Struthio camelus: one gene and its partners. The protein of the gene in region 2 binds, or shares a complex with, the protein of the main gene of each other region. Links are inferred from orthologs where the notes say so. Each region holds a gene or a part of one and is shown on either strand. Other genes may lie near its edges.

What was found.
Region 1: RNF113A (region 2) and RBM22 share a complex: the UniProt entries of both Homo sapiens proteins name them as parts of the pre-catalytic and catalytic spliceosome complex. The link is inferred for Struthio camelus from reciprocal best matches to the Homo sapiens genes RNF113A and RBM22.
Region 3: RNF113A (region 2) and SNRPD3 share a complex: the UniProt entries of both Homo sapiens proteins name them as parts of the minor spliceosome. The link is inferred for Struthio camelus from reciprocal best matches to the Homo sapiens genes RNF113A and SNRPD3.
Region 4: RNF113A (region 2) and CWC15 share a complex: the UniProt entries of both Homo sapiens proteins name them as parts of the minor spliceosome. The link is inferred for Struthio camelus from reciprocal best matches to the Homo sapiens genes RNF113A and CWC15.

Annotation. Positions count from the first base shown.
Region 1 is NC_090954.1:13,415,715-13,423,016, reverse strand, and holds the start of RBM22 (pre-mRNA-splicing factor RBM22), read right to left. Parts: upstream 3,017-7,302; 5' UTR 2,899-3,016; coding exon 2,845-2,898; intron 2,369-2,844; coding exon 2,315-2,368; intron 1,455-2,314; coding exon 1,425-1,454; intron 359-1,424; coding exon 226-358; intron 1-225. Other genes in the region: DCTN4 (dynactin subunit 4), read right to left, coding at 5,614-5,827, 6,596-6,693, 7,092-7,199. UniProt on the Homo sapiens protein: Required for pre-mRNA splicing as component of the activated spliceosome. Involved in the first step of pre-mRNA splicing.
Region 2 is NC_090966.1:4,277,776-4,284,672, forward strand, and holds the start of RNF113A (E3 ubiquitin-protein ligase RNF113A), read left to right. Parts: upstream 1-3,881; 5' UTR 3,882-3,975; coding exon 3,976-4,075; intron 4,076-4,210; coding exon 4,211-4,287; intron 4,288-4,405; coding exon 4,406-4,510; intron 4,511-5,788; coding exon 5,789-5,896; intron 5,897-6,509; coding exon 6,510-6,619; intron 6,620-6,822; coding exon 6,823-6,897. UniProt on the Homo sapiens protein: Required for pre-mRNA splicing as component of the spliceosome. As a component of the minor spliceosome, involved in the splicing of U12-type introns in pre-mRNAs. E3 ubiquitin-protein ligase that catalyzes the transfer of ubiquitin onto target proteins.
Region 3 is NC_090958.1:8,968,552-8,976,053, reverse strand, and holds the start of SNRPD3 (small nuclear ribonucleoprotein Sm D3), read right to left. Parts: upstream 3,013-7,502; 5' UTR 2,873-3,012; intron 2,358-2,872; 5' UTR 2,334-2,357; coding exon 2,208-2,333; intron 1,018-2,207; coding exon 825-1,017; intron 1-824. Other genes in the region: protein GUCD1, read left to right, coding at 3,380-3,416, 5,059-5,143, 6,577-6,742. UniProt on the Homo sapiens protein: Plays a role in pre-mRNA splicing as a core component of the spliceosomal U1, U2, U4 and U5 small nuclear ribonucleoproteins (snRNPs), the building blocks of the spliceosome.
Region 4 is NC_090942.1:211,881,798-211,889,190, forward strand, and holds the start of CWC15 (spliceosome-associated protein CWC15 homolog), read left to right. Parts: upstream 1-4,374; 5' UTR 4,375-4,383; coding exon 4,384-4,477; intron 4,478-7,102; coding exon 7,103-7,241; intron 7,242-7,393. UniProt on the Homo sapiens protein: Involved in pre-mRNA splicing as component of the spliceosome. Component of the PRP19-CDC5L complex that forms an integral part of the spliceosome and is required for activating pre-mRNA splicing.

The DNA of each region.
Region 1 (7,302 bases), on a different chromosome or scaffold from region 2:
GCATTAGCCAGAGATGACTTATTTACTGCTCAGGTGTACTATACACCAAATGCATCCCTGAACCTCAGAATGGATTTGATCTCTGAGACTTGCTCTCCTCAAAGTCTGTCAAGAGACAGAGACAACCACGCAGTTACAAGCATATGTTTAAAGACATTTCACCAACTAGGACAGGCAAGCAGAACTGCTTCTTATTTCAGTTTTTTTTTTTTTTTTGGTACACACCATATTCCAGGTCAAGCAGACAAGTTTGACAGACATTCTTGAGCTTGCTGCACGTTTGACATACTTCTGTTTTCTTAAAACGCATACGAACACCAGGGCACCAGCGAAATACTGTGAAAGGCCTAGCACAGATCTGAAAGACAGAAAGCAGAGACTCGGATCATTGTTACAGCGCAATGAAATTACCATTCAAGTTCTTACAAGGAAAGGCCAAACACAACAAATCTCTTTCAACCATGAGTCTTTCTTCATCATCTTAATGAAAAGATCCAGATAAACCAACTTATGAGCTCATGAAATAATTGTTTGTCTTTGGTATCTTTTTTTGACAGGAGAAAGTTTTTGGAAGGATTTTTTTGGTTTGGTACAATATTTGAATACTGAAAGCAAACCTATACAAAGGAAAAGAAATTCTTCTTTATTCCGGGAGATGTCACCACAGAGCTGTAAGAGGCAAATTACCAACGGTTCCTAAATTGAACACCCACTGGCAAAGAGCAAGGCCAGTGAAAGATGAAAGAATTTTTGATCCAGAAAAAAAAAATACTGCCCTCTATGATATCTGTTGGAAAGATGCATCTGCTTTCAGTGTATGCACAATTTGAGGAAGATTTCAACACACGCCTTCTTCCTAACTCAGCTGACAATTGGTAAAAGAAAAAAAAAAGGAAAAAGAAAAAAAAAGTTCTCCAAGTCAAGACAAAGCATTCTATTTTACATTTCCAAAAGACAGCACTAAATGCTTTTTGCTCTCTGTTAGAAATAAATCGAGCTTACTTCTTAAATAGCTAACACAAATCACTACATGGGCAGGAATAACTTATTCACACCAAAAACTAAACCTCAGTTAGAGCAAATATGAACCTAAAACAGAAAACATGAGATCATTTGAAATGCTGTGAAATACCTTTGAATATAGCACAACCAATATGAGGAAAACATATTGAAAATATATCTTAAAAACACTGAGGGCAAATCCTAAAAACACAGACTTCAGGAGTTTTAGTCTTGTTAACTGATTTTGTCTAATAAAACATATGGTAGATTGATGCAAAAACTTATGCAGTTAAACAAACACATTAACTTGTTAACCCAGATAAACACTTTTCTGAAGCTCACAATTTTTTTAACATAAATATTTACTACTCATAGATGTGCAGCAGTTTAGAAGTCAGTTTTTCAAAAGACAACAAACATACCTTGCATTCTTTTCCATATTTCTCTTTGGTCTGAAATGTAATCAGAAACAGTAAAATAAAATGTAAGACGTTATTTTGTTCAACGTCAAACTCTCCCCCATATATAATATCATCAAAATTACAACCCAGTGTTTTTTCTCCTCTTATTCTGCATTTAGACTTGTTCACCGCCATGGTTTCAACTCAGTCAGGATAGTCCTTGGCAGATGAACAGAACAAGACAAAAAAACAAAAAATAAGCCATTTTTGAAGTATAATCTATACCGGGAGTCAATAATTTACAAAAAAATTCACAAAAGACTTCCAGTAATCTTGGTAGAAAGGAAACAGTTAAGGGAAGACACTTGATCTAAGTTTACATCATACACAACTAGACTAAGTCCACAGAAAGGTGATATAAAATGGATTGATTCATCTTCTACTGAAGAAGCCAAGGTAAAAGAACAAGGATTTGAATTACTGTCAAGCAACCCTCATAAGACAATTTTAAACTAGTTTTTACAGGTGGGTATCCTGCCCATTCTAGAAATTGTATGCATTTATTTAACGTTTCCGCATCTCACTCATCATCACAAAATTTAACAGCACCAAAGGTTTAATTTCTAGTATTGCCTGTGCTTTAGGCATTAAGACAACGTTGTCTTATTCTCTGCTCGTGTTATTGACTGGTTGACTCTTAAATCATGCACCCTAAGTCATGGCAGGGCATACAAAAATAGCAGGAATCAAGTTTTGTGGTGCCGAATTAACGAATTCAGAGTTCAAGTGCATCTCAACATCTCCTCTTTTATTATTCTAGTTTATTCTAGCCCTCAAAACCCAACAGCTCTACAGCCACCAACACAAAAAAAAAAAAAAGCGAAGGACCGCAGTGTCAAACAGGCACATACCATTCGAATATACGGGTTTTCTCCAAGACATGTTTGGCACAGGATAGGGAAGTCCTGAAACGATCAGGAAGGGGGTATACAAAAGATAAATAAATAAATCAAGAATTAGCCGCAGATTCTCTCTCTCATCACAACAGCGTTCAGGTCAGCTCCTGTACTCAGCGCAGCCAAGTCCAACCCGTCAGACCGAAGGACACGAGAGCGGCCCCACGGGAGCCCCGCAACGCGCGACAGCCGCGACCCGCCGGCTCTTCCTGCCCGAAGCGCCCGTTTCGGAGGGCTCAGCTCCCGGGGCCGGGCCCCAGCAGAGCCCCTCGGCGCCCGCCCCGAAAGGGCCGCGGCTGGAGCGAGCAGGGCCGCGGCCGCCGGGGAGGCCCGGCCGAGCCCGCCAGCGCCCGCAGACCTCCCCGGCTCCCGGCCGCGCCAGCGCCGCAGCGCCGAGCTGCCCGGCCGCGGGGGCCAGGGCCACCGCGGAGCCCCTCGCCCGGCGGCAGCGGCTCCCCGCGCCCCCCGGCCGCGCCCCCGCTCACCGCGTCCTCCCAGTTCTGCCGGTTGTAGGTGTTGGAGCCCAGCGACGTCGACATGGCGGACGCCCCCGTTCCGCAACCCGCCGCCGCCGGAAGCCCTCGCGCCGCTCCGCCTCCGTCCCGGCAGGCAGCGGGGCCGGAAGCGTTCGCCACCTGCACCAGCGACGCTCCTCTGAGGGCGGGGGAAGCAAAGAGTGAGGAAGGAGGTGAGGGCGGGAGGGCGCCAGAGTGTCGCACCGTAGGGACGCTCTAGGCACTGCAAACTATAGAGCCCAGCTCACAGCCGTGGGAGCGTGGCGGAGAAGGCAGAGGGGGTTGTGGGGCCGGCCGGACCCCTTGCGGAGGGCGGGGGAGGGTTGTGGGGCCGGCCGGACCCCTTGCGGAGGGCGGGGGAGGGTTGTGGGGCCGGCCGGACCCCTTGCGGAGGGCGGGGGAGGGGTTGTGGGGCCGGCCGGACCCCTTGCGGGGGGGTTTTTGGGGCCGGCCGGACCCCTTGCGGAGGGCGGGGGGGGGGGGGGGAAGCCGGGTCGGACACGCCAAGAGGAACCTTTTTTTCTGAGGGCAGAGTAAGCAGCACCAGGGCAAAAGCAGCAGAGAGGCAACTTTGCTTTATTGAAGTTCACTACATGAAATTAAGCAGTAAGGCAACGCAGGCGCCCGTCTGTAAGGGGCAGACACCGACAGAGGCAGAGCGCGGCCAGGCGCTTCCGCACAGACAGACGTAAAGACACAGCGAACGCTACTCCTAGCTCCTATAAGCGTCTAAAGGGAGAAGAAAATGCACCGGACTAGTTAGAGAGAAAAAAGTCAACACACCCTTTAGCTTTCAAACTAGCGACTGAGAGCCCACAAGTACATCTTATTTTCCTATAACATAAATAACAGCCAAAGAACCCACCAAATACAGCAAAATCCCAGTTTCAAATTCCTCTTTCACCAGAGGGACCACGAGCTGCAGGTCAACAGGCCTCGTCAGCCAACGCTCGTCCCAAAGCCTGCTCGTCCTCGTTAGTGTTGCAAGGGGTGCCAGCTATTTGGCTAAAGAAGAGAACTCATGGCCAAAGCTTAAGTGTTTTGTTATCTTGAAAGGTAAAACAGCAGCAGACACTAACACTATACATGAAGAATAAATACAAACTACACTTCTTAAACTCATGCTGTATGTCTGTGTAGGGCCTACGCAAACCTGTAAACATGAAGCCTCGCTGCTTTGAGACCCATTGCACAATGGGGATAAGGCGTGCTTCCCCTGCAGAGCTGTCAAGTCCAACCCTCTGGCCACCCACAGGCAGGTTTCTTCCTTTAAGCAAGACGCATTTTTAGGCGCACCAAGCCCTATTTGCTGCATCGTTACTTCCCTAGGAGAGGGGGGCAGCACGATCCCTCCCTCTCATACAGAGGCATTGCAACTTTAGACTGGCAGAACCGTGTCTTAAGTCTCAAGCAATAAAACCGTAACTGACTGGTATTTCAGCCTTTCCCAATATCACCATCATGTTAAAGACCACCAGAAGTGTTTAACAAAGGTTAACGCCTGAATTGGGAACGCAACTGAAGTCCCAGCAGGAAGAGGAATCTTGCCGGCCTGCACTATGCTATTGTAGCTACTGGTATCTGGTATCAGGGGTACACTGCTCTTGGTTACCGTTTTTAGCTTGGACTGCAGCCAAACTACACCCTGGTTACACCATGGATAAGTTATCTTTTTATAATGGTGTAGTATAGGCTAGTTAAAGTATAACAGTATTTCCTCCTTTGCATTTTTCCTCACCCTCCTATAGCAGGAAAAAGACTAAGTATGAACTTGAACACCCCGTGGAGTTTTATGTATACCGGTCCTAATCTTAACTCTCCAAATTTCATACTCTCTGGTTGCTATCCCCATTAACACAATTTTATTGATATGAAGACTGCCAGGCAACCTCTCAGAGACATCCTTGCCTCAGTAAAGAGCTGTATCAGAATCCGATTCCCAATTTGTAAAGCATCATGCTACCCAATCCATCTTGCAACACAGCAGGCTTACAGTCGGACTGGTTGCCAGTCAAATCCATGAACACTACAGTATACTATGTTTTGAGTTTAAAGGCAAACTGATCATTTCCTTTGTGAAGACAGATTTATCACCTTGGCCAAACAAGCTACGCACGCCAAAGTGTTTTTTCATAACAAGAGAAACAATTGTACCTCCGAGTCTCCCACATTTGAGGGATCCTATTAGGAAGAAGAAAACAAAAGAAAAAAAAAACAACATCCGGCTGCAAGAGAGACTTGACTATAATGAAGCAGACGTGGCCACCTCCTAAAATGTTTCCTCAGGAAGGGCATAGCTCTGTGTGGAAAAGAAGAATTCCATAGCTGAGCACGTAACATTAGCTTTGTGGGAGGACATGATGAAGACAGACCAATATAGGTTCTTTTCTGTTGATAAAGAAAAATTCAGCTAGGTGTAGTGCAGATCTGGAGAAAGCTACATACATCTTTCTCTGTGCTGAAAAATGTGCTGTAAGTTAAACTAGCACATGGTGGTGCGGGGAAACGGAGTGGTAGTTAGTGGGCACTACAATAAGAGGAGAGAAAAGAACAAATCATCCAAAAACACGGTACCCTTGCCCACACCCATGCAGCTTCCTCCTCGTGGCTTGGCTGGAGTCCCTGGCACACATCCACACATCATAGAGGATCTCTCACAGAACTTCTCATCAGGGTGCATTCTTCTACTGTGACAGTCTATCCTGTGGCCAGCCCTCGGGATGCAGGTGTTGGGAGCGTTTATGGGAGCACTGGACCAAGGCTGAGCTCCACGTGATGGGTGAGCCAGATGACCTCAGAGCTCTGATCGCTTTCCTCACTGGGCCGGATTGGAGCAGCAAGGTTTTTAAACTCATGCTTCATCTTAAAACTCACGGTCACGTCGCCCTCCTCTTTCTGTGGAGTGACCTTGATGAAAACTCCTACCTTATTGGCTTTTCTGAAGGCAATAATGCTGCAGGACAGAAAACAAGAGGATACTGCGTCAGCCAAGCTCTCAAACGTTTGTTTTGCAAAGATTTATTCCGATACCACGAGCGGGATGCTCAGTTTACAGCCTGGGGGCTGAATCTGCCCTACTAGAACAATTCCTCCAGCCTGTAGCTTACTCCCTGCTGCTCTCTTCCTAGAGGGCCCCAAGTCCCTCCTCCCACCTCACGATCGAAACGTGTGTACCTCCCTTTCTGCTGGCAACTGTTTGCACGCCTGTCACACAGAACATCTCTGCTTTGGTCACGGGAGTTAACGTATCCAGTTGTGCAATACAGAAGGGCCACGACACATGATTGAAGTAGCTCTGTAAGAGGCTACAGAACTTTTCCCATTTTGAAGACTGAAGGGACCTCTGCGTAGCACACAGTACTACTGCGTAGTTCACACCACTGCTATGACCCTTTTGCTTGCAAAGGGAAAGATTTCACAGAGCATTCTTGTGAAATGAGAGATTCTCTCTTCACAGAGAGAATCAGTATTGCCACCTATAACCCAGTTGCTACAACAGCACACCCTGCCTCCAGGTAAGGTAATATTTCTTGAATAGTCCAAACCACAAGCAGAAAAGATAAGATTTGCATTTCTAATCTCTGCCAAAAAAACCCAAAACAACAACAAAAAACACAGAACGAGACAGACATGCTTAAGATAGACAGAAAAGCAGTACGTTACTTGGCTGAAGTGCCAATTGTTTTAAGTACAGGATGGACACAGGGAAGACAGCACTTACTCAGGGTCATCCTGAAAGTCTTGAGGCTCTGCCAGCTCATCATATTCTGCTGCAGCATCTTTGCCAGCCAGAATAAGCTCCTTGGGAGGAACTGCCACCTGAAACAGCAGAGAGAGAGGAGGCCCATCACCCATACTGCAAGCAGGGGAGAGCCCTTCCCTTCTGAAGGCTGCTTAACTAAAGCTCAACAGAAAAGGGAATCATTCTCTGCTTTTCCACCACTCTTTCATTCTGGTTCCCACCCCTCCAGCAAAGTGGCCACTGTATATTTCTCCCTTGAGTTGCGGATCTCAATGAACAGGCACACATGCAAAATATTTTACTACCTAAGAATGACGTTTATGTTGGTGACAGTTATTTAAGCCTCCAAGGAGGCAAACGTAATGCAGTCAACAGGGACCGAAGCACATGTCAAAGGTGCAACCTAGGGATAGATAGGTGGAAGTGGAGAGCCTTGGAAAGGGCCTGGGTTAGTGCAACAGGGAGGGCACAATACCTTGGCAGTACTGTTGATATTGTCAGGGTCTCCCTCCTCGCACTCCAGCAGCGTGACATGTGTGATGTTCTCCACTGGATTGGTCAGAGTCAGAAGGACTTGGCTCTCCTGAGGAGATTCAGGAAACAGTTCAAGAAGCAGTTATTCTAAAAATCTGTTTTACTGTTACTTCCGCCTTCTGTAGGCGACTGATCAATGCCTTCAAAACTGG
Region 2 (6,897 bases):
TTTATTGTACTCCAACTAACAGGCCTGTAACCATGCATAATTTTCCCCTTTCCCCAAACACAACCTGTAAGTGTGAAGTTGGCTAATCTCCTCCCATGGGCTATCACCTGTAAAATACCAGATGTGGAATTGCAATGTCCTATGAGGGCTAGCCTATACCTTGAGCAAAAATCCTGGAAAAGCCCTGCTGGCCACAGCCTCCCCCTCCATCTTCCCAATTAGGGTTCAAGATGTCATACAACCCAGTACAGGATCTGCTGCTGTGCAAGCGCCTGGGGTTTCGGTGGAGCAAAGAGGAAAAACAAGCCTTGGAGAGGCTCTGTGCTGCTCTGCCGGGCCATCTCAGAGGTTGTCGAGGCTCCTTGCATCTGAAAAGCCATGAGCTGGCCATGTGGAAGGGGTTATGGGCACCCCAGAAGAGTGCAAAATGTATCTAAAGTGCATTTAATATGATTGTAATAATCCCATCGCTCAGATTTAATGTTTTCCATCCCAGAGCTTTACTAACAGTTAGGTAAGCTCTGCAACACCCCCAGATGGCAGATAAAAAATGACTTACAAGGAAGTGAAAAGCAGACACCTCCAGGGGAACATGGCAGCTGCCGAACAATGGACAACAGCACTGCAAAAGCTGGGGAAGGGCGACAAGGAAAAGAAAAATCCCACCTCCAGCTGGGGCCGGAGGGGGTATTTGTAGGCTCACAGCACCAACTCGCTGAAGGAAACCAGAAGAGGAACTCCCTTCCCTAATGAGAAGTCTTGTGGGATTTTTGTTGACCAAAAAAGGCCAGGAAGCTAGCTTTAAGCTAGAGAAAAAGATGCATCCAGTCACTTTGCACCCCTAGTGCTGAGCTGGCCTAAGAGGCTGGTTCTGACATCTTAACTGGCTGTTTGCTTCTTGCAGGGCTCCCCCGTTTAAATAGGCTGTTAATACCGGAATTATTTGGTAATCTACATTAATAACATGGCACACATGGGCTACTTCTTGCCTTAAATACATGACAGCTCAGCTGGGGCGCCAGATGTCTTCCCCGAGAGCGCCCTAGCACGACGTCCTCGATGGACAAAGCCCAGTCTCCAAGGCGTGATCGAGGCCGCTGCATTAGCTTGTTCTTCCAAAGCTGAAGCCCACCCAGCAGAAATCCACGGCGAATCGATCAGAAAAAAAAAAAAAAAAACGTGACCTACGAGGTAGCTTAGCTGGTCTCCAATGATCCAGCGGGATTAGACAGATCAGACCGGCTCGAAACCTAGCGGGTGCAGCACAGGACCAGGAAGCAGGAGCCCCAGGGTTCATTCTCGGCTCTGCTCCTGATTTTTGCACGGCAGGGGACGAATCGCTTCGTTTTTGTGTGCTCCCTTCCCCCCCCCCACGACGAAAGCAGAGCTGGTCTCCTTTGTGAAGCCCTGGGAGATCCCTGGCTGTAGTTAAGGGCTGTGTCAGAGCTGCGGGTATTTGTGTTGTTATCAGATCTCACAGTCGTGCAACAGCCTCCCCAGGGAAGCGATGAAAGACCCGTCGCTGCCAAGGCTGCAAGCCGGGCTGGACGAGGCGGGGGGAGACGCACCACCGAGAACGGCCGAGCGAGCTGGGATCTAACAGGTTTTCTTCCCTCTCGGCTTTTTTTTTTTTTTTCCTCCCCCTTCCTTTCTTCTTTTTTTTTTTCCCCCGTCAGCTTCATAAAAATGGATCTGGCCAGCCCCTCTCCGGCATGCACACGACAAAGAGGCGACTCGCCACCCCCGAAAACGCCCGCGCGGGTCTCCGCTCGCAGCCGCCGCTCCCCAAGGGGCTCCCGCAGCCCGGCCGGCGTCTCCCCCCCCCCTCAAAAACCAGACTTTGCAGCCGCCAGGCTCCGACCTGCTCCCGGGGGTGGTTGGGGGGGGGGGGGACACACACACCCCCGAAATTCCCACCTGGCGGCTCCCCGCGGCATTCCTCCCTCCTCCCCACTCCTGCATCCCTCTCCCCCCCCCGGGTGTTTTCGCTGCCCCCCCCCCCGGGTGTTTTCGCTGCCTTCTCACCTGGGAGCGGAGCTGGCCGCGGATCCCGGCCGGCCAACGCGGCCTCCCGGCCCCGTCGTTGTCGGCCAGCCAAAGCTCACCGCGCGGGAGGGCTTCTCCCCCGGCGGGTCCGGTCCGTCCGGGGGGGGGGGGGGGGGGGGGGCTTCACCGCCTTCCTCCGGGGCTCGGCGAGCCGGAGCCGGAGCCGGAGCCGGAGCCGGAGCCGGAGCCGGAGCCGGAGCCGGAGCCGGAGCCGTTTCCTGGCAGCCCCGGTACCCTCCTCGTCAACCCTTTTATCGACGGGGGGGGGCCGCCGCCGCCGCCGCCGTGATTGGCTCGCGGCTTCGTACCGGCTCCGAGCCGCGTCCCGCCTTTGTGCGAGGCCCCAACCTCGAGGCCGAGCCCCCGCCGAGCCCCTCTGCCGCCGCCGCCCTCCCCGAGCCCCCGGCGGCCTCTCGGCGCTGCCCCGCAGCCCCTCGGCTGCAGAAGGGAGACCCCAGCACCTTTTTATTTGGGGGGGGGGGAAGACCAAAAACTGAGCCGTGAGGGTCTCCGAAACGGGGGTTTGCCCCTCCGGCGGGGCGAGGCGGTCCGCAGAGCAGGCGGCAGGTCTCGGCGGGGCGAGGGACGGGGAGCCGCATCCCGGCGCGGGATGCAGAGGCTGAAGTCCGGAGGGCAGGAATTTCCCCCCCCCCCCCCCCCCCAGCCGGCACCGAAAAAAGCCAACCTTGTTGGCCAAGGAGGCAGCGGGGATGCCGTTTCTCACCGCCGCTGCTTGCGTTGCCCAAATCGCATCTGCCGTGAAACGGCCTGCTGCCACCGCGAGCAAATAAAGGAGGAATTTGACTCGCTAGTAAAATTAGCTGTTGCCAAGCAGAGCCCGACCCAGCGACACGGGTGATCACACGTATCACGCAGCGTGAGCCTGGCAGGGCTGCACAAGGGAAGAGAAGAGCGGCCAAGGCTTGGCCACGCTGCACCAGAAAGCTGCCGTGAGCGAGGAAGGGTGCAGCCCTCCGCCCGGGGCGTGAGGATGGGTGCAGGGCTGGGGTGAGCTTCTCCCTCCCACTCCCCCGTCGCCCCACGAGGAGCCCCCAGAAATAGGCTCCAGTTAAACGCTCTCCACTAGTTCCTGCCTGCAAACTTTGTGCCTCCTCCCCTGCCTGCATGCACACACACACATGCATAGGCACATGCATGCATAAGCACATACACATGCAAATGCACACACATGCATGTGCACACACATGCACATGCATAGGCACATACACATGCAAATGCATGCACTTGCACGTGCACACACACATGCATAGACACATGCATGCATATCCATGTGCACACACGCACGCATAGGCACATACATATGCATGTGCACACACATGCATGGGCACATACACATGCATATGCGTGCACATGCATGTGTACACACATGCACGCAAAGGCACATGCGTATGCACGTGCATGCATGTGTGCACACACATGCATGGGCACATGCACACATAAGCACATGCACATGCATGCACACACATGTGCACATGCATAGGCACACGCACGTGCACATACAGGTGCATGCACACACACACGCACGCACGGGCCCACGCGGACGCGCTGGCTGCCCACGGCCCCGGCGGCGGCAGCCGGCGCCCTCCGCCCCCGGCGGCGGCAGCCGGGCCTCCATCGTCCAGGGCGCCGGGGCCCAGCTCAGCGCCATCGCGCGTTGCTATGGCGACGCGCCCGGCCCCGCTCGCCGCAGAGCCCAGGCTGGGCCCGGCTTTAGCCCCGCCCCGAGCGCCGCCGCCGCCGCTCCCGCCCCGCCTGCGAGGGGCGCCCCCCCCCTCCCGCCCTCCAAGGGGGCCCCGCCCCTGCTCTACGTCACGCGGGGGGGGAGGGAGGGGTCGAGGGCGCCGCGTCCTCCCCGCCCGCAGGGGGCGCTGCGCGCTGCGCGGCGTTGGCGAGCGGCGGCGGCGCAAAATGGCGGACGAGGGCTCCGTGTGCAGCTTCGTGTTCAAGAAGCGGGGCCCGGCGGCGGCCCGCGGGCGGCGCAAGCGGCCGAGCAGCGACCAGGAGCGGGGTGAGGCTGCGGCGCTGAGGGGCCCCGGGGGCCATTGCGTTACGGCGCGGCGGGGAGGGGGGGGGGGTCCCCGCGCCGTGTCAGCGCGGCGGCGAGGCTCCCGCCGCCCCCTCAGCCCTGGGCTTTGCCCCGCAGAGAGCAGCGGCGACGAAGGCAGCACGGTGGTGCGGAAGGAGCGGCGGCGGGACACCCCCAACCCCATGATCCAGAAGGTAAGGGAGCCGCGGCCGCTGCCCCCCCTGCCCGGGCGCCGCCCTGCCCGCCGAGCCCCACGCTGAGCGCTGGGCCCTGCCGTCCTTCACTCCCCCCCCTCCTCTTTCCGCCCCTCAGACCAGGAGAGGCGTCAAGGAAAAGCCCACGTACGCGCTGAGCAGCAGTGACGAGGAGGATCAGGCAAAGGAGATCGGCGTCACTTACAAATCGACGAGGTCGGCGGTAAGGACTGGGCAGGGCTGTGATCCAGGGGTGCCACACCACGCACCAGGCTAGACCAGGCTAGAGAGCGTCTTCCTCCCCGAGTCAACTCGGTCCTGGGTTGTTTGTTTGTTTGTTTTTTTCCTGTAGAGGCACTTCCCTGCCGCTTCACTCGTAATGCTCAAGCGCCTCATGCCAGGTTTATTCTCCTGATACTCTCTGCATCCTCAGGAGGCCATCTGAGGTTGGTCTTTACCCCTTAAATGCGGGAACTAAAACTCCAAGACGTCACTGGACGTGTCCAGCATCACACACAGTTTTCACTAAAAGAGGCGCTTGAACGAGGTTTGCCCCAGTCTTGGGTCCACGTTTTAAGGTTTTGAACCGCTATCCTTCTCAAAAGAATTTTCCGGGTGATTTATAAAGGACTCTTACCTTTGTGCACATAACTAGTGATGGGGTAACAGAGTTATAGAGAGAGGTATTGTTTTCTTGGGAGTGACAGGTGGGGGTCCTGGTAATCCGGTGCCCTAGTTGCACGAGAACAGTACGGTGGAAATAGAGAAAAACTCTAGAAATCCCAAGGAGTTCACTGGAGATGTTTACGTTCCTTCTCCTTCTTCCATAAGCAAGTCGGTTTTGCTGCCAAAGGGGGCAGCATGTTGTCAGCGCTGCTTGCTGTAGGAGAACAGGAATGGTGCAGGAGGAAATGACAGCTTTGGCGCTCCAGGAGCTTTTGGCACATAAATTGGATTCAGTTTTAACTGGGACTGGTTGAAATTGTTCTTCAGTTCCTGTGCAGCTGTTCCTGAAGATCTGACAAAACCAGGAATAGGTGTCTATTTAGTGCATTCCAGAGGAGTTTAAACTAGATCATTGCATTAACTAAAACTGACTGTAAGCCACCCACAGCTAGGTTAAGAATCCAGCCATGACATCCTGTGTGTGGGCTGGATGGTCTCTCGATTAGAGCGTTAGACATGGCACATCCGAGTTCAGTTTCCAACTAAGCCAAAGCTAAGCTTGAAGGAGCAAAATGAGGACAGGTGTTTCCCCTGCTTAGGAGCCATCAGTAATTAGCATTCTGGCCTCTGCAAAAACGAGGCTGGATATGAGTGATCTGGCCCATGGGAGAGTTTCTCAGGCAGGTGCTAAGGGAAGGTGGAAACTGGTGGAAGGTAAAGTGGGCCATGTCCAGGGCTTGGTTACTTCTTGCTCTGAGACTGACCCTCTAAGGAGCTCTTTGTCCTTTTACAAGTTTTCTGTTCACTGTTGTCACGTGTACTTCTTGCTTTTCAGAAACCTGTTGGCCCAGAAGACATGGGGGCCACCGCAGTGTATGAACTGGACACAGAGAAGGAGAAAGATGCCCAGGCCATCTTCGAGCGCAGCCAGAAAATCCAGGAGGTCAGTTAGCATTGCTCTGTAACAGCCAGTGCTCTGCGGCAGGTGTGTGCGTGCTTTATTCATCCCCTTCTCCCGCATGTCAAAAAGTGTTTGAGTCTTGTGGAACTGCTGTGCAGCTCCAGGGCATGTGAGGTGTCTTTGGAAGAAGCAGGTGGTGAGATGGAGCCGCTCAAGTTTAATAGATCTGCAAGTCCGGTCGGTTTGGCACTTAGAGTCCGGCTTGTTTCAGAGGATCAGTGTCTAAGGGAGGTTTGCACCAGGAGGCAAACCAGGACAGAAGTGCCTGGAACAAGAGATGTGTGCATTGTGGCTGGAGTGAAAAAGCACGGACAGCTGCAGTAGGGAGCCAGGCCTCTGCCATCTCCAGTCTCAGGAGCAGCAAGAATTCTTGAAACATGAGCATGAGGAAATCTTCCTCGCCTGGACATTTGAGAGGTGAAGAGTGTTTCCCTTTTAAATAGGGGAGCTTTCTGACTTTACTGGCCTCTTGATGCTAAGGAAGGCAGGGCTGGGAAAGGAGACTGGGGACAGAGAGGTGAAAGCTCATCTGTGACATGAAGCTCTCTTCTTCTGAGTCACTTGACCCTTAATCACCTTTCTTTCCCCTTCCTAGGAGCTGAGAGGGAAGGAGGACGATAAAATCTACCGTGGTATTAACAACTATCAGAAGTACGTGAAGCCCAAGGACACATCAATGGGAAATGCCTCTTCGGGAATGGTCAGGTAGGTTGGGATGAGCCTCAGAGAAGTGGGACCCACAGAGGAGCTCAGGCACCATCCCGAAAGGCACCTTTTGGGGCTTGAACTCTGCTGTTATTACCGCTTGGTTCTATCTAACGAGTCCGGTGTCTGGTTCTGACCAGGCCCCCAGGGGCCTTCTCCACTGCAGCTGCGCACCTGGCCTGAGCCTTCTCCCACCCTTTCAGAAAAGGACCCATCCGTGCGCCAGAGCACTTGCGGGCCACAGTGCGATGGGACTACCAGCCTGACATCTGCAAAGA
Region 3 (7,502 bases), on a different chromosome or scaffold from region 2:
CAGAAGGTGATTTACCACAAAAAAAAAAAAAAAAGCGTTCTGTGAGAAGAACCAGGACGAATTGTTACACAGTCTTGCACTTGAAACACAGTATATACAGAGATGAGAATGAACTATTAATACATTCTGTGTTCATTCCAATCTGACGCACAAATCTCTACCACAGGAGATTTCTATCATGGTAGAGTTGCTGTGCCAGAGATTTCACTGATGTTTAAAACCTCACACTAAGATTTTGCAACAGAACTCAATATGTTCCAGCAGGTGTTACTCCCCCACGCACACTCACTACACTTGCTAAAGTTAACGAAGGACTTTGCAGCCCACGAGTATTACTCAAACTTGTTATAACTACACTGCTCACATAAGAGAAGTGCTAATGAGGGAGAACTGTAGAGTGGCTAGTAGTTACAACTTCCCAAGTATTATCTTAATATCTGAATCATTTTTTCCACAAAAGCTTAAGAAGAACACTTAGCTCCTTTTCCAAGTGGTCCAAACAGCCAGTGACCACATTCACTGAAAAACACCAAAATGAAGATGAATGTAAAGCCTCAGTATAACTCTACCAGGACTACTTGCTACGTGTAAATTATCTTCACATATCAGTATTGCTCATTTTGATAATTGGGAAATTTGAGTCTTGACACCCACTGAAGAAAAAATACATAGGAGGAAAAAAAACCCCAACAATATATGAACCACTAATCATTCTGCTTATGTTGTTTGTTTCCTCAATGATATAGGTGAACATTTTCCTGTTCCTCCATAGCAAAACGCTAAAGGCAAGGAAGGAGGGAGGTCCACAAACAAGGAGTACCCACCTTGAGCTTTGAGAATAGCTGCTTTTCCTCGCCCAGCACCAGAACCCTGGTTTTTATTCTTCATGCTCTTTAACATAGGAGCATTCTTCAACATATCTGGTAAAATGAGAAACCGTATCTTGCTACCTCTGATGTACACCTGTTCAAGCTGTGCCACTCGTCCATCTCTGTACGTCACTGTTATGTTGGACATCTGGAAGGTAAAAGATCAGTCAGTGCTTACAGAGGCCTCCAACACAATTCAGTATTCCCGTTTCTCTTGCTTTCACTATTCTGACTCAGACTCCTCCGAGTAAAAACTATCTGGGTCAAGTACTAGTCGTTTCAACAGAAAGCCTTTCTAGGTCCGTTTTGAGATTTTTAGAGCCAATGGAAGCTTTTCAGAAGTTGCAGCAAGTTGACAGGCTTGCATCAGCAGAATACCAACTACGCAGGCACAAAAAAAACCAAAAGCACATTAACCATGATTATTCTAATAAAAAAGACACTACTGTACATGCAATTTTTATCTCACTTGTGTTTGTATGCTTCTTTGTTACACAATCAGAGTAAGTTACATCTGATTTTCTTTGGCTAATCACAATATACAGTATGCAACTGATTTAGAGGAATACACATAAGCAAAATACAGCAACAGAGCAGAAAAATTGCATAGTTTACTTACAAAACAGTGCAAACAAACACAGAGCCAAGATTCAAGTACCAAAGCCAAGAACCTTCCAAGTACTGTCATCTTGACTGGCATTGTGACACAAGGTATCCAGGACCTTTCGCACATAATGCTAAGCCTATTAGTCAAGCAGGCCCAGCGTTTTTATCTTCACCCCAGTATGAGCCAGAACAAACTCTTAGAAAAACACAACTCAGTTCTGTTTTCTCACATTAAGTCACTTTTAAAAAAGCTTTACTTGTTCAAATAAAAATGCTTCCTTAATACTTAAGACAACATGATTTCTATCCAAAGTCAACCAAAATTAAGCCCGCTTGGGATGCCTGAAGTCATGTGCATTAAAAAAAACACAAAAAACCCCTTCAGTTTCCTCAAATAAGGGTTTGTTTAATCTTAAGCCCAGAGCAATAAAATGAAAGACTCCAGTAGAAACACTGTCCATAGAACAAAGTCTTAAAAAACCCTAATGCTATTGACAAGACTTCCCAGGCCTGCTTTAAACCCTAAAAGAACAAACTCTGCGCTCTTTAGAGCATTCAGCAATCCTGAGTCCACTTCACTACAACGTAGGCATGCAGCAGCAGGGTTTTTTTTTTTTTTAATCCTTAGACTAAAAATAATAGTCTTTAAATCAAAACACAAATAAGCTAGCTATCAACCTTTCCTGGCACAGACGAGACAGCCTCCCTTCCCTCCACCAGAGGCAGCTATACCTGACAGTTCATGTTGTCTTCAGCTTCGATAAGCTTGCCCCGATAGACTTCTCCTGTGTTGGTCTCACATGTGACGATGTGGCCTTCCGCCTCGTGCAGGACTTTGATGGGCACGCCGATCGACATGTCTGCAGAGCTGCGGCTCTACCCCTGGGACAAGGAAAAGCAAAGGAAACGGTCTTTGAAATTAGGTTCTCCCTACATTACCTATGATCTTTTCAAGCGTAAGAAACGGGGGGGGGGGGGGGGGAAGGGGGGTTCCCCCTTGCCCAGAAACACCACAAGTTTTGATGAAACGTTAACAAAGCTCCTCTAGAAAGAGGGCTATGGGAAAAAAAAAAATCACTTAAATATCAGTGGAAGTGGCTGCCTACGGGTTCCCTGCTAGGAAAGGGAAAGGAAACCCGCTCCCCAGCTGGAGGACACCGAACCGCCGGCGCAGGCAGGGGCGGCGGCGGCACCGGGGCCGCTCGCAAGCGCGGCCCGGCGGCAGCAGCGCGGCAGCCGGGCCGGGCCGGGCCCACGGGTCCCGCGCCAGGGCAGCGGGCACTACCACGAGGGGGGAAGGAGGCGGCCCGGGCCCGGACGGCGCCCCGGGCCCGCGGCCTCGTCGCCAGCCATAGCCAAGAGGCCCCGGGGCCGGCCCGGCGCCCACCACCACTCACCGCCCGCAACCGCCTCAAGCCGGGCCCGCGCGCAGCCCCTAATGGCCTCCTCCAGCTTCCCGCCGTGCCCCGCGCGCCGGAAGCGGAAAGCGGCGCTCGCCGGGAGGCTCCTCCCCGTCCCGTCCGGCCCGCCCCGCCCCGCCCCGCCCCGGCAGGGCAGGCGGCGCCTCCGGCGCGCGGGGCCGGCCGGGCCGCGGCGCCCCGGCACGACGGTTCCGCCGCCGCCCGCGCCCGCAGAGGGGCCGCCGCCGCCGCGGGCGCTGCCCGCCCGGCGAGCCGCGCCGAGCCGCGCCGCGCCATGCCCCCGCCGCCCGGCCGCAGCCGGCCCCGCCGCGGCGAGGGCGCGGCGCCCCGGGGCCCGGCCCCCCGCCCCCGCAGCCCCCGCCCCCGGCGCCGGGGCCGGGCGGAGCCAGCGCGGCGCCGAGGCACGGCGGGCCCCTGGGCCGGGCCGGCTCGGCGGGGCCGGCAGCGAGCGGGCGGGCGGCGGGTGCCGCCGCCGTCGCCGCCATGAAGAGCCCGCGGGAGGCCGGGGAGCCGCTGCCAGGTCAGTGCGCCCCTGCTGCCCCGAGGCCCGGCCGCCCCCCGCGCCCACCCCGGCCCCGGCGGGGCGCTGAGCGCGGGCGGCGGAGCGGGAGCGGGAGCGGGAGCCGGGGCCTCGCGCGCTGGCGGCGGCGCTGGCGGGGCGGCCGGAGGCGCGGAGCCGGCGGGGCGGCCGCGGGCGGGGGCGCGGGCGGCCGCCTCGGGGCAGCGGGGAGGCCCCGCCGGGAGAGGCCGCGGGGCCGGGAGCTGGACACCCGGGAGAACTGGAAAAGCACGAGCCGTTGTCGGTCTGTGAAGTCATCAGGCAGAAAACAGCGTTACTTCTTAAATTAACCTGGGGAGCTGGCAGAGGCCCTAGGTAGGAACGAAGAGGGAACTGACTCATGACACGCCGGGAAGAACCAACAATAAAGATTTAAAGAGGGTAGTCCGAGGAGGATCTGGGACTTTTTGTTTTCCCTTTAGGAGACTTACGTAAGAGCACCTTAATCTAGATTAACAAAGACAACTGAATATACCAGCAGGTATACCTGGTCTTCGAAGTCACGATTAAACACGGGCACAACTACGAAAAAATATTTTTGAAGAGTCCAAAATATCTATATTGGCTTGTGCCTACTGTAGGCTATAGCTTTGTTAGGAAATAATACAAAATTATTGTTACGAATGACATTACTTATAAAGTTTTACAAATAAAATTTTATCAAAACTAGACCAGTCCACATGATGTGGAATGCATTTTTATCTTCATGCCGAAGTGTAGTTGACCTTGTGTTAACAGCTTTCAAAGGTCTTTTCTAGTCAAAAGTGAAGGGATTGAGAAAAGCCCTTTAAGACTAGCTTACTCTGATTAAGGTTGAAATAACAGTAACACCTGCAAAAACACTAAGTCATTCAAATTCAAACGATAATGGGTCTTCTGAGACTGAAACCATCACACTTGCCCCAAGCCTATAAAAATGAAAAATGAGGAAGAAAGATGGAATTATGGACTTTCCAGTAGAGATTTTTCTTCTTTCTTTTTCTGAAACCTTGAGAGAATATAACACGAAAGGCCAACTAGTGTCATTTGTAAGGTTCGGTAACTTAAAATTACTCACATAAATTATAGTCCCTGAGGAAAAAAGACACATCTGTAGAAAAGGCTCAGCTCTGTGGGGCTTGTGAGAGAGAGGTGGCTGGAGGAGATCTTTGTTGTGTCTGTTTTATCACAGTCTGGCTGAACACCTTTTGTGGCACAGAAGTACATTCAGAGACTGTTTTGGACACATGACAAAGGATGAATAGCTGTGCCTTATCTACTGCTAGTTAGGAGGGGATACAGCTTTGTAACTAGGGGCTGGTGGATGTGTCACCACCACAAAAAAGAATAAAATACTGCACAGTGATCCAAATATGTAACAATAATATGACATTAAACCAGACACGTGAGGGTTAACTCTACAGAAATACCAAACAAACCTACATCCCCTTAGGAAAAAGGACCTGCCAATCAGGTAAAATAAAAAATGTTCCTAAGTTTCCCCCACTATAGTGCTGAGTGTACCTGCAAGACAGCAAATTGGCTTTGAATGCTGAGGTACGGAAAAACATGTATATGCGGGTTGACATCCTCCATGTTTTACTAAGTGTTGTTTTCACTGCAGTTGACTGCATCCAGTTGAAAGTGCCAGTCATCCAGCAGCTGTACCACTGGGACTGTGGGCTAGCCTGCTCCAGGATGGTACTACAGTAAGTAACTTTTTTGGCTTCAAGGGGTTGGAAATCCCATCCCATGGGAAGTCGGAAATCAATGTCCAGGGAGAAAGGATATGTGGAAGCAGCTGTGAATTTAACTTCAGTATCGTGAGAGCATATAGTCTCAAGTACCTTTGGAGGATTACTGCTGCCAGGGTCTAGCACAGCTCTCCAGCAAGAGCAAGGGAAAATACAAACTAGGACAAATTTTAAGACTTTTTAAATGATTAACTGCTTTGATTGATGCAAAATATCTGACTAGCACTAAGATCTTTGCAGGTTAGCATGCTTAAGCTAGTAAAAGTTATCCCTCTTTTCTGTTATAATTTGGAACTAGCTTTTACCACAGCAATTCTCTTACTTCCATTCTGCGTGTTTTCAAGTGGCTGGTAGGTTTATCCCGTATTTATGAATATATATTGCCCCTGTCCTGTTGAGCCCCCACTCTGTAGGGTGAAGGGTTTCTGTTCCAGGAGTAGTTTCAACTTCAAGGCTATGCACTGTATTGCCCTTTTTTTTTTTTTTTTCTTTAAACTAGTAGCTGTCCTGCTGAACTCCTCTTTCCTTCCACAGAGGAACATGAGCTTAGGTGCAGGAGAAATACCTATTTAGATGTCCACTTAGTAGATATGAAGCAGAAGATTTTCATTTCTCTCCATCCCTACTGCCAAGACGTTAGTCCGTGTGCTGGTAATTTCCCATCTTGACTACTGTAACCTCTGCCTCTTCATTCCCTTTACCCTCGTTGCCATTCCAGTCTGCCCAAAACTCAGCTTTCAAGATTAATCTTCTTACCCTGCTGATCTGACCTTGTTTGCCCTGCTTCCTCAGTTCCAGTCTTTTTCTTTTTTGCATTTATTTCCATCTGTTTTCTGACTTCCAGAATTCTCTGTAACTGCCTCTCCCTAGCCCTTTTGCAACCTGACCTAAGCTTCCTCCTAACCTTATCTGCCCTTTGCACCATCAGTGCCTAAGAAAATTCCTTTGACTATTTATCAACTGCCTTTACAGTTCCTACTTTTGAAATCCACCTGTTCTGTGAAGCAAGTTTTAGTCTTTAACGCTCCTGTGCTTGCTGTTATGTTGCTATGTATATTCAGACTGTAACCCCTTCAGAATAGAGTTCTGCCCTTGCTCACTATAGCTTACCTATTGTACAGCATCCTGTATACTTTTAGCACTATAAAACAATTGAGATACCTGTACATTTCCAATAAAAAAGTCAACAATAAAGCCAGTTAAATATTCCTTATTCCCTTCCCTTCCTTTAATTTTGGGCTCATTTGTGGGTTGCTTTTTGGTTATTTCTTAGCCAGTCCCGTTGTTTCAGTTCTTCCGTCCTGTGATGTGGAGTCTTGGGCTACTGCGCACACTTTGCTTCTCCTAAGATCTGTGTTTCCCTTCCCCTACCTTTTCTAATACCCTAGGTACCTGAATCATTTGGACAATGATGAATTTCAGAAAGCGATCCAGGAACTCCGGTTAACAAAGAGTATCTGGACCATTGACCTGGCTTACCTTATGCGACACTTTGGTGTTAAGCATAAATTTTGCACCCAGACACTTGGCGTGGACAAGGGCTACAAAAACCAGGTTAGCATTCCTATTCACTGGGAAACAGCACGCAGTGTTAAAAGTGAGCCCTGTGTATCATGCTATAAAAGCTTTGCTGTGTTACTGAGCATTAACCACAGTTGCTGTAAACCAGATTTGCCTATTGCCAAAACTGGCCATGAATCAGTTCTCAAGGCGAGGCTAGATATGATCCCAGATATTTTCCATCTTTGATTCCATAATATGAACTCTTAAAGAAGAGTTTTCATTTAGTGTTCAAGAAAGGTTCCAGCCTATTTGACAGCCTCGGAGACTGAAGCCCTCTATTTATCTACAGAACAGGTACAGACAGCCTGGGCAGCGGCAGTGCTAGCTTCCACACTTCCCCCACCACCGTGCCTCAACCTTGACCTGGAGGAACCACCTTTAGAGGTGAGAGGGGAACTCAGTCTCCATGTCCGTTCAGAGCTTGGCCTCTTCGAGATCGCTAACAAGGGGGCCCACGAGTGCCTATTCAGGCAATAGCTTTTCTGATGCAGGCTCCTGCCCACTACAAACCGGTCCGACTTCCTTCATGCAGGAAGCTGAATAGCCACTGGATGGAGACTATAAGAACTGACCAGGAGCGTATTTGAACTGATGATTTAGAGCAGGAAATCTTGTCCTATTACCAGTGAACTAAAGGAGAGACCTCTTAGCCCATAACTAGATCTCTTAACTCATGCAGGCCTTTGCTAGCAAGGATTAACTAGATTAACTCGGGTAAACTTCATCCTAGTTCATAGTTCTCTTCTCTCCA
Region 4 (7,393 bases), on a different chromosome or scaffold from region 2:
GGACCCCACAGGGATCCTGTGGTCTCCGCTGTCCCGTTTGTAGCAATGATCCTGAGGCCAATATGAAATCGCACTGAGAAAAACTACAGGTACCATAAAGAATTCCAGATGGCAACTAAGAGGCTGTGCAAGTGACACCAGCAAGGGATTTCTTTTCAAGCCAGATACATTTGAAACAACCAGGAATTCATCTAGGAACAAAGGTCACACAGAACTTTCTAATTCAGAAAACAACGACTTTGAGAAGGATTTAAGAATCACCATGGACATGCCTCTGACCTTGAGCACCCAGTGTAGTGGAGGGTGTGAGGAAAAGGCCAACGAGATCCTTACATATATAAACAACTGTGCAGAAAGCTGAGGGAGGAAAGTGATCTAATCTCTCTAGCCAACACTACTGGGACTGATGTTGAAATACTTCTTATATTTCTAATGTGGATAAATTGGAGAGAGTGCAGGAAAGAACCTTCAAATAATTGGTGAGAGGAAGGAAATGCTTCTAAGAGACTAGAAGAGTCCAGTCTGCTTACTCTATCCAACGACAGTTGCAAGACTACATTACAAAGTATAAATACCTAGTGAGAAAATGGCCTTTTTAAATCAGCAGAGAAAGGCATAGCAGGCACCAGTGGTTGGGAGTAAAGCCAGATAAAACGGAATTAAAAATAAGGTGCATTTTTGAGCCATGAGGATAATTAACTCCTGGAGGACATTCTCAAGGGAAGCGGTGCATTCTCCTGCTTTTCGTGTTTCCATGAAGTACAGAATACCTCTCTAAGACGTGCCACAGCCAAACTGCTCAAACTGAAGGTGCATCCATGGTGCCAGCTACAGGCTACTGTGTGCAAAGGGATCCAAGGCTCATCGTGCCACAGGAAGAAAGCACTCTTTGCCTAGACCTGTTCTGTTCTTACAGCTACCGTGGGAAGGGGGAAGACCTGAGTTTTTGTCCTTATCTGGTTGTTTATTTTATCTGATCATGCTTTAATGTAAAATCGTAGAAACAGGGCCTGGGATCCAGGAACTTGCATTCGCATATGAGAGTTGACTGGTGCTCCCTGTCACACACACACTCTCTCAATTAATCTTTAATTCCTTTCTGCTCAGTGGAGCAGCTTCAAAAAGCGGTAGAGTGTGCCTAAATACCAAAGCCATCTGAGGCTGGATGACTGCTGGGGCAACGGTTCTCCAAATGCGAGGTCAGCCGTACTGGGGACAGGGACAGACCCTGAAGGAAAAGGAGTTATGAGAGGAGAACGGCCCTGAGGCTGCCTCCCTTCCCTCCGTCCCTTCCTGTGTGCAGTGCCAAGCTGAGTGAGATAGGGGCTATGCCACCTTGGCTGTCCCAACGATTCGGGCAAAGCATACTGCTTCTTCATGTACAAGCCCAGACGTGGTAGGGAAATGCAAGAGGAGCTTTGCTTTTCAGCAAAGGTGCAATTATTTTGGGCATCTCCACATAGGCAGGGACCAGCCAGTGTGAGAATAAAGGGTAAGCCACAGCAGAAGTGTGAGCAGATCCTAACATGCACTCACATCTTGAGGGGCTGCAGAAAACTGGCCAGGCAATGAGGCAACTCTGACCAAGTCCTCTGAAATATGACTGCTGCTCGCACAGCCTTCCTCACTGAAGATACAACTCCAGGAGCAAAGGAGGTTTAGAACAAGAGGTCAGTGAGGGGTTTAACACTCTTAAGGTTGTACAGAAAAGCTGAATGATGGGAGCAGGACATTAACCAAAATCTTTGTGACTGGTGGCTGTGAGCCTCTTCTTTAAGGTAGCAGAAGGCTGGGGAGGGAAACGGACCTGGAACTCCCGCTCCACAGGTGAGCACTGTAACCACTAAACTATCACATAAAAGTAGTTGGCTCTCCTACCAACAGTACTATTAAAAAAAAAAAAAAAAAACACTGACCAAAGATATATTTTTTGTCATACTGAGAGGCTGATCATGGTATCCACGAGTGCTGGACATGGTCTGAGAATAGTTACTGGATGAAAGCTCTCTGAGCACTTGAGCTAGGGAATATCTTGTTTCTGGATCCTATCAAGTCTCACTGTGAGCAGGATGCTAAACTTCTTAGACCAAAGGAGTTTAACACTGGACAAAACTCTTTACGTCTGGAGATCTTTAAAATCAAAAGTTGTGGACCTGTGAAGGTTAGATGCTTCCACAGCCTTTGCAGCAAGATCAGGTAGGGATTTTCAGGAGTCTGGACTTAGGCACCTCCATTCCACCAATATCCTACTTTAGCACACAAGTCTTTAAAGGATCCAGCCCTTTGACTCTTAAACACTTTCCTGTCTGTTTGTACTTCACATCTATACACACCCAAGTTAGAGGAAAGGAAGCACCTTGGTGTCGCGGAGGACAACTCTAGTCAAAGACATTAAGTCATTCCTTTCCTTAAAAAATCATTTTATCTACTCGAAGCAGGGATTATCCCAGCATTTGAGCTATGAAACTATGAATAACTCTGAAAATAATATCCATCATCACAGGATAATGCACTAAGCTGACAATCGGAATTCTTGACTCACTACTTGGGAATCTGGACTCCTCTGAGAGGTTTGATCTTGACTCTAAACTGCCTGCAGTGAAATCAATAGTAAAACCATTTCACGGGGTGCAGACTGAGGCTTGCAGATAAGAAAATGCAACAGTGGATGCCTGGCTATTGACAAGCGCAGCTCTTAGGAAGTGACACAGTAATTACTGCTTCTATTTACGTGACTGCTGAGCACAGCCTAAAATTGATGACAAGCTGCCCAAAATATCCTGTGTAAAACCTCTAACGTTATCAGAAAGTATTAGTAAACCTTCTTCTGCTGCCCACCAGAAGGGTAGCTGCCAGCCTGTCCCTTCCTTGGGCCTGGAAAGGCATAGTTGGAGGTGGAAGGGAGCGACCCTGTGCAGGGGGACAAACTCTCGGGAAACTATCCACGGGCTGCCAACAGGAAAAGCAGATAAACACGCCTTTCTCAGTGTGCCTTGTCGTTCATCGGTCAGGGCAAGCAAAAGCAGCAAAGAGAACAAGCCCCCAGAGGCAGGCTGCTCATCCAGGAACCACTTGTCCCCGTCCCAAGCTGCTGCCATCAACCCCAGCGGAAACGGCACGCACCTCACGGAGACACGGCTGCTTTTCAAACTCCCCTGGCACAACCTGAGCAGGGGACAGGGGGTTTCTTTGCCCAAGGGGGCCAGGGTGCTGCCTGGGGCGGGTGCCCCAGTGGGCTGCTCTGCGAGCAGCCCGGCCTCGGGGACCTCTCGAGGGCCTGGCCTGGCCCAGCCCAGCCTGGCATGGCGGGAGAGTAGCTCCCCGGGCAAGCGAGCGTGTCGGTAGCCTGGTACTTCCCACGTCGCCAGGCGAGTCCCAGCAGCCTGACCACGGGATGCGTCTAAAAGCGGCAGTGACGGGAGGAGAGAAAGGGCTGCTGAGGAGACGGCGTCTCTCCACTCACACCCCCAAACTGCAGCCTTTTAACGAGACGGCGAGGCAAATCCTCCTGCAGAGCAGCTGGATCAAGGTGCTGGGCTGGCCCTGGCCCTAACCCTAACACCAACCTCAACTCCCTAACCTCAACCCCAACCCCCTAACCTTCTAACCCCAACCCTCCCAACCTCACCCCCCCATCCTGACTCCCCAGCCCCCCAACCCCCCACCCCAACCCTAACTCTCCAACCCCCTAACCCCCAACCTCACCCCCTAACCACAACCCCCTAACGTCAACCCCTAACCCTCTAACCCCAGCCCCCTAAGCCCCAACCTCAACCCTCTAACCCCAACCCCCCATCCTGACTCCCCAGCCCCCCAACCCCCCACCCCAACCCTAACTCTCCAACCCCCTAACCCCCAACCTCACCCCCTAACCACAACCCCCTAACCTCAACCCCTAACCCTCTAACCCCAGCCCCCTAAGCCCCAACCTCAACCCTCTAACCCCAACCCCCCCAACCCCAGTCCCCTAACCTCAACCCCCTAAGCCCAACCCTCCAACCCCCTAACCCTCTAACTCCAACCCCTTAAGGCCATCCCCCTAAGCCCCTAACCTCAACCCTCTAACCCCAACCCCCTAGTCCCCCAACCCCAGTCCCCTAACCTCAACCCCCTAACCCCAACTCCCTCATCTCAACCCCCAACCCCAATCCCCCTAACCCCAATCTGCCCCGGGGCGCTGAGCCGAGGCGGTAAGGTGGGGGCGACCACCATCGCTACACAGGCAACAGCGAGGCTACCACCACGGCGCCCACTTCCGCCTCGGTAGCCATCATGGCGGGCTCTTGGCTCGCCGCGGTCACGTGGCAGACGCTTTCCTTACGCCGACCCTCTCTATGGTAGGTTCTCTAGCAGCAGCTGCGGCGACTTCCGCTGGGTGTGTCTATGGTTTCCCGCGCGGTGCCTTGTGGGCACTCGGCGGGATTATGGTGGTGGTGTAGGGCTTGTTTGCGCAGGGCGGGTGGAGGCCGCGGTGTAAGTATGTGGGGGAGACGCGGTTCTCGCTGGGGAGGGGGGCGAGATGGCCTGCCAGGGGCCAGGAGTGCGCCTGGGGCGGTCCCTGGGGCGGTCCCTGGGGCAGCGGAGGGGGTAGGGGCCCAGTCCGGATCGGGCCGGGCCCGGTGCGCTAGAGGAGCGGCCGGGCTTCGGCTGGGCCAGGGAGCGCCGCGGCGTGAAGGGGCCTGAGGAAGGGGCGGCTGCGGGGGGGGGGGGGGGGGGGCAGGAGGGAGAGGGCCCGGAGAGAAGAGCGGGGGCGATTTGGGGGATGGCTGTGGTTGGGAAAGAGGGAGAGTGCCCGGGGAGAAGGGTGGAGGGTGATTTGGGGGCAGAGTGAAAGGGTGGCTGTTCAGTGGTCTCTGTGTTCAGCTCTGAGCAGCGTGCCTCGGTACTATTTGGCATAACCTTCCTTTGTGCAGCTCAAACACTGAGTTTAAAATAAAAAGCAGAAGCCTAGTTAGAGCGGTGTAAGAGGCAGGGAGCAAAGTGATGGTGCAGCATTGGTCGTACTGAAATTTTAGATTCTTACGTTGTGATTTCAGGTTTGGGGGCTGTTATGAGTTCCAGTGCTCGTGTTCAGGCTCTGTGGTGAATGTAGTGGGGATGGGTTCAGCAGGATTGTTAGCCGCAGGCATAGTGCTGTACGGGCACGTTCTGTACTGCTGGGGCAGTTCAGCTCCAGGCTTAGTTAGCCCAGCCACTTTCTCTTGGCTTAGCAGTGAGCTGGTAAACCATGCTTGGCCAGTCCTGGCCTCATGTAGTGCTAAAATGGATTTTTCAGTAGGCTGTATTTCTGAAACTTAAGAGTTTCTGAAACTTAAGAGTGCAGTGCAAAGGTCCCTGAGTTCAGGTCTGTTAAGGCCAAGCCAAACTCAGTCTGACCTCAGAAAGAGTCAATGGGGAGCAGGGACAGGTTCCAGAATATTTTTTAGTGTTTCATGAAAGTATACAGCCAGACTAGATCTGGTTCTGCCTCTGAACTAATAAATCCCTGCTGTTACTGATAATTGGTTCAGATAAGACTTGAGAGCAAATGGCTTTCTCAGATTATGGGTCTGGTAGAGTCTGCACTGAGCCAGACCTAAAAGAGCCTGCTGGGCTCCAGGTGACTTGCCCATTGTCACTGATGTGTGTCTGCAGTGGTTGGTCAATGAGCCAAGGCTAGTTACCATGTCAGTATTACCTTCTCACTGCTTTTTAAAGATATTTGTGTCTGTTAACTTTGTCCTGAATAGTAGTTCAGTGGCAGTAATAATGTTCTCTGTGGTGGTATGTTCCTATTCATGTTAAAATTAGAAAACATTTTTGTCACTGAAGTGATGCATTTTCTGGCCCTTTAAAAGTGAAAAATGAACAAAAATGCAGGTACAGCATAAACAAATTACCCTTGTTTGTGATAGCAAAAAAGCGTATCTTATTTTTTCTTCTATTTAATATTGTTTAAAATAATTTCTTGTTGTCCTTTACTATCCAACCTTCCACTTGGTAGGCTGGTGCCTTTATGTATTTCTGCGCATGTCTCTCTCTTGTGTCTTAGGTATCTTTAGTCTGTGGTTAATGGATGTGCATGTCTTTGTGAATCAGAAGTGAGGATAGTTGCAGATAACATATTTGAGATGATGCTGTTTGATCATCCAGGGTTTTTTTGCATTGGTTATCCATCTTAAAATTTTGGTGTAGTGGGGTGGGATTGCAGTGTCCAGCTCCTGTCTGGCAGTTTTGAACGCAGTGCATGCTGACAGGGTCTTTGTGTGGTAGAGGCTGATTTGAGTCTCTTTCACTCCTTTGCCACAGGAGAATTTACAGTAGCGATTCTTGGCCTCAGTTTTTTCATTTTTAGGGACGTGCTGGTGATATGTGGGTTTCTAAATGAGAGCTGCTGAAAACTTCCTTCTTTGCCTGAGCTAGAATACTTTTTTTTTTTTTTTTTTTTTTTTGTAATGTAACAGTAAAGTTGTCAGGCTTCTGCTACCGGAGGAACATTAACCCTGTCACACTTAAAACAAAAACTTTTTTTTCCTGGTCACCTGGAGCTCTGCATAAGTCAGTTCCAAAAAACTGTGCTGCGTTGTTGATGTCAGTGCTGTGCCTGCCCTAAATAGGGCCAGGAGAAGGGCTAGTGCATTCAGGATATGTGACCATCCTAATTTAATTGTCAACACCATTCTGGACATACTGTGGTCCATGTCAACCAGTACTTGCAGTGATGATAGCTGGATACAGTTTGGGTGATAACGGAGGGACTATTTCCAGTAGGCAGTATGAATGAGGCTGTCATTTCTGGGGAGAAGAAAGAGTTAAGTTACGTAGCTGCAGCCTGTGCTGTACCATTTGCCTGGAGGATGGGAGAGAATAACTCATGACCTGTTTTATTTACTTCTAAAACAAAGCCTCAGATTCTCCCTGTGCTTCAACTTTCAGACATGTTGGAAAAGTTTTTCAGTTTTGAAAAACTGAATAGGTTCTGTCAATCGTGTGCCAAATGATAGCTTGTTTTGGGTAGTGGGACTTGTCATTGCTGCTACAGTTCCAGGAACAATGTAGTTTCTAATGAATGGCTTTCATTATAAGCTGTAGTAATGACCCTTTTTTGCGTTTGATTCTATAGTAATTAAAATGACCACAGCAGCAAGGCCAACGTTTGAACCTGCAAGAGGAGGACGAGGAAAAGGAGAAGGAGACTTAAGTCAGCTATCCAAACAATATTCCAGCAGAGATCTTCCTTCTCATACTAAAATCAAATATAGGTAAGTTTTGCTTTTCGTTCTGTGCTCTTGGAAAACAGGCTGGGGAAGGTTTTCTTTTGCAAAAGCTGCTCTGAGGTTTTTCACAATAGATATTCATGTGCTTGACACTGAGCAGACACCAGATAGCGTGCAGCACTGCTAAATGAGTGGGC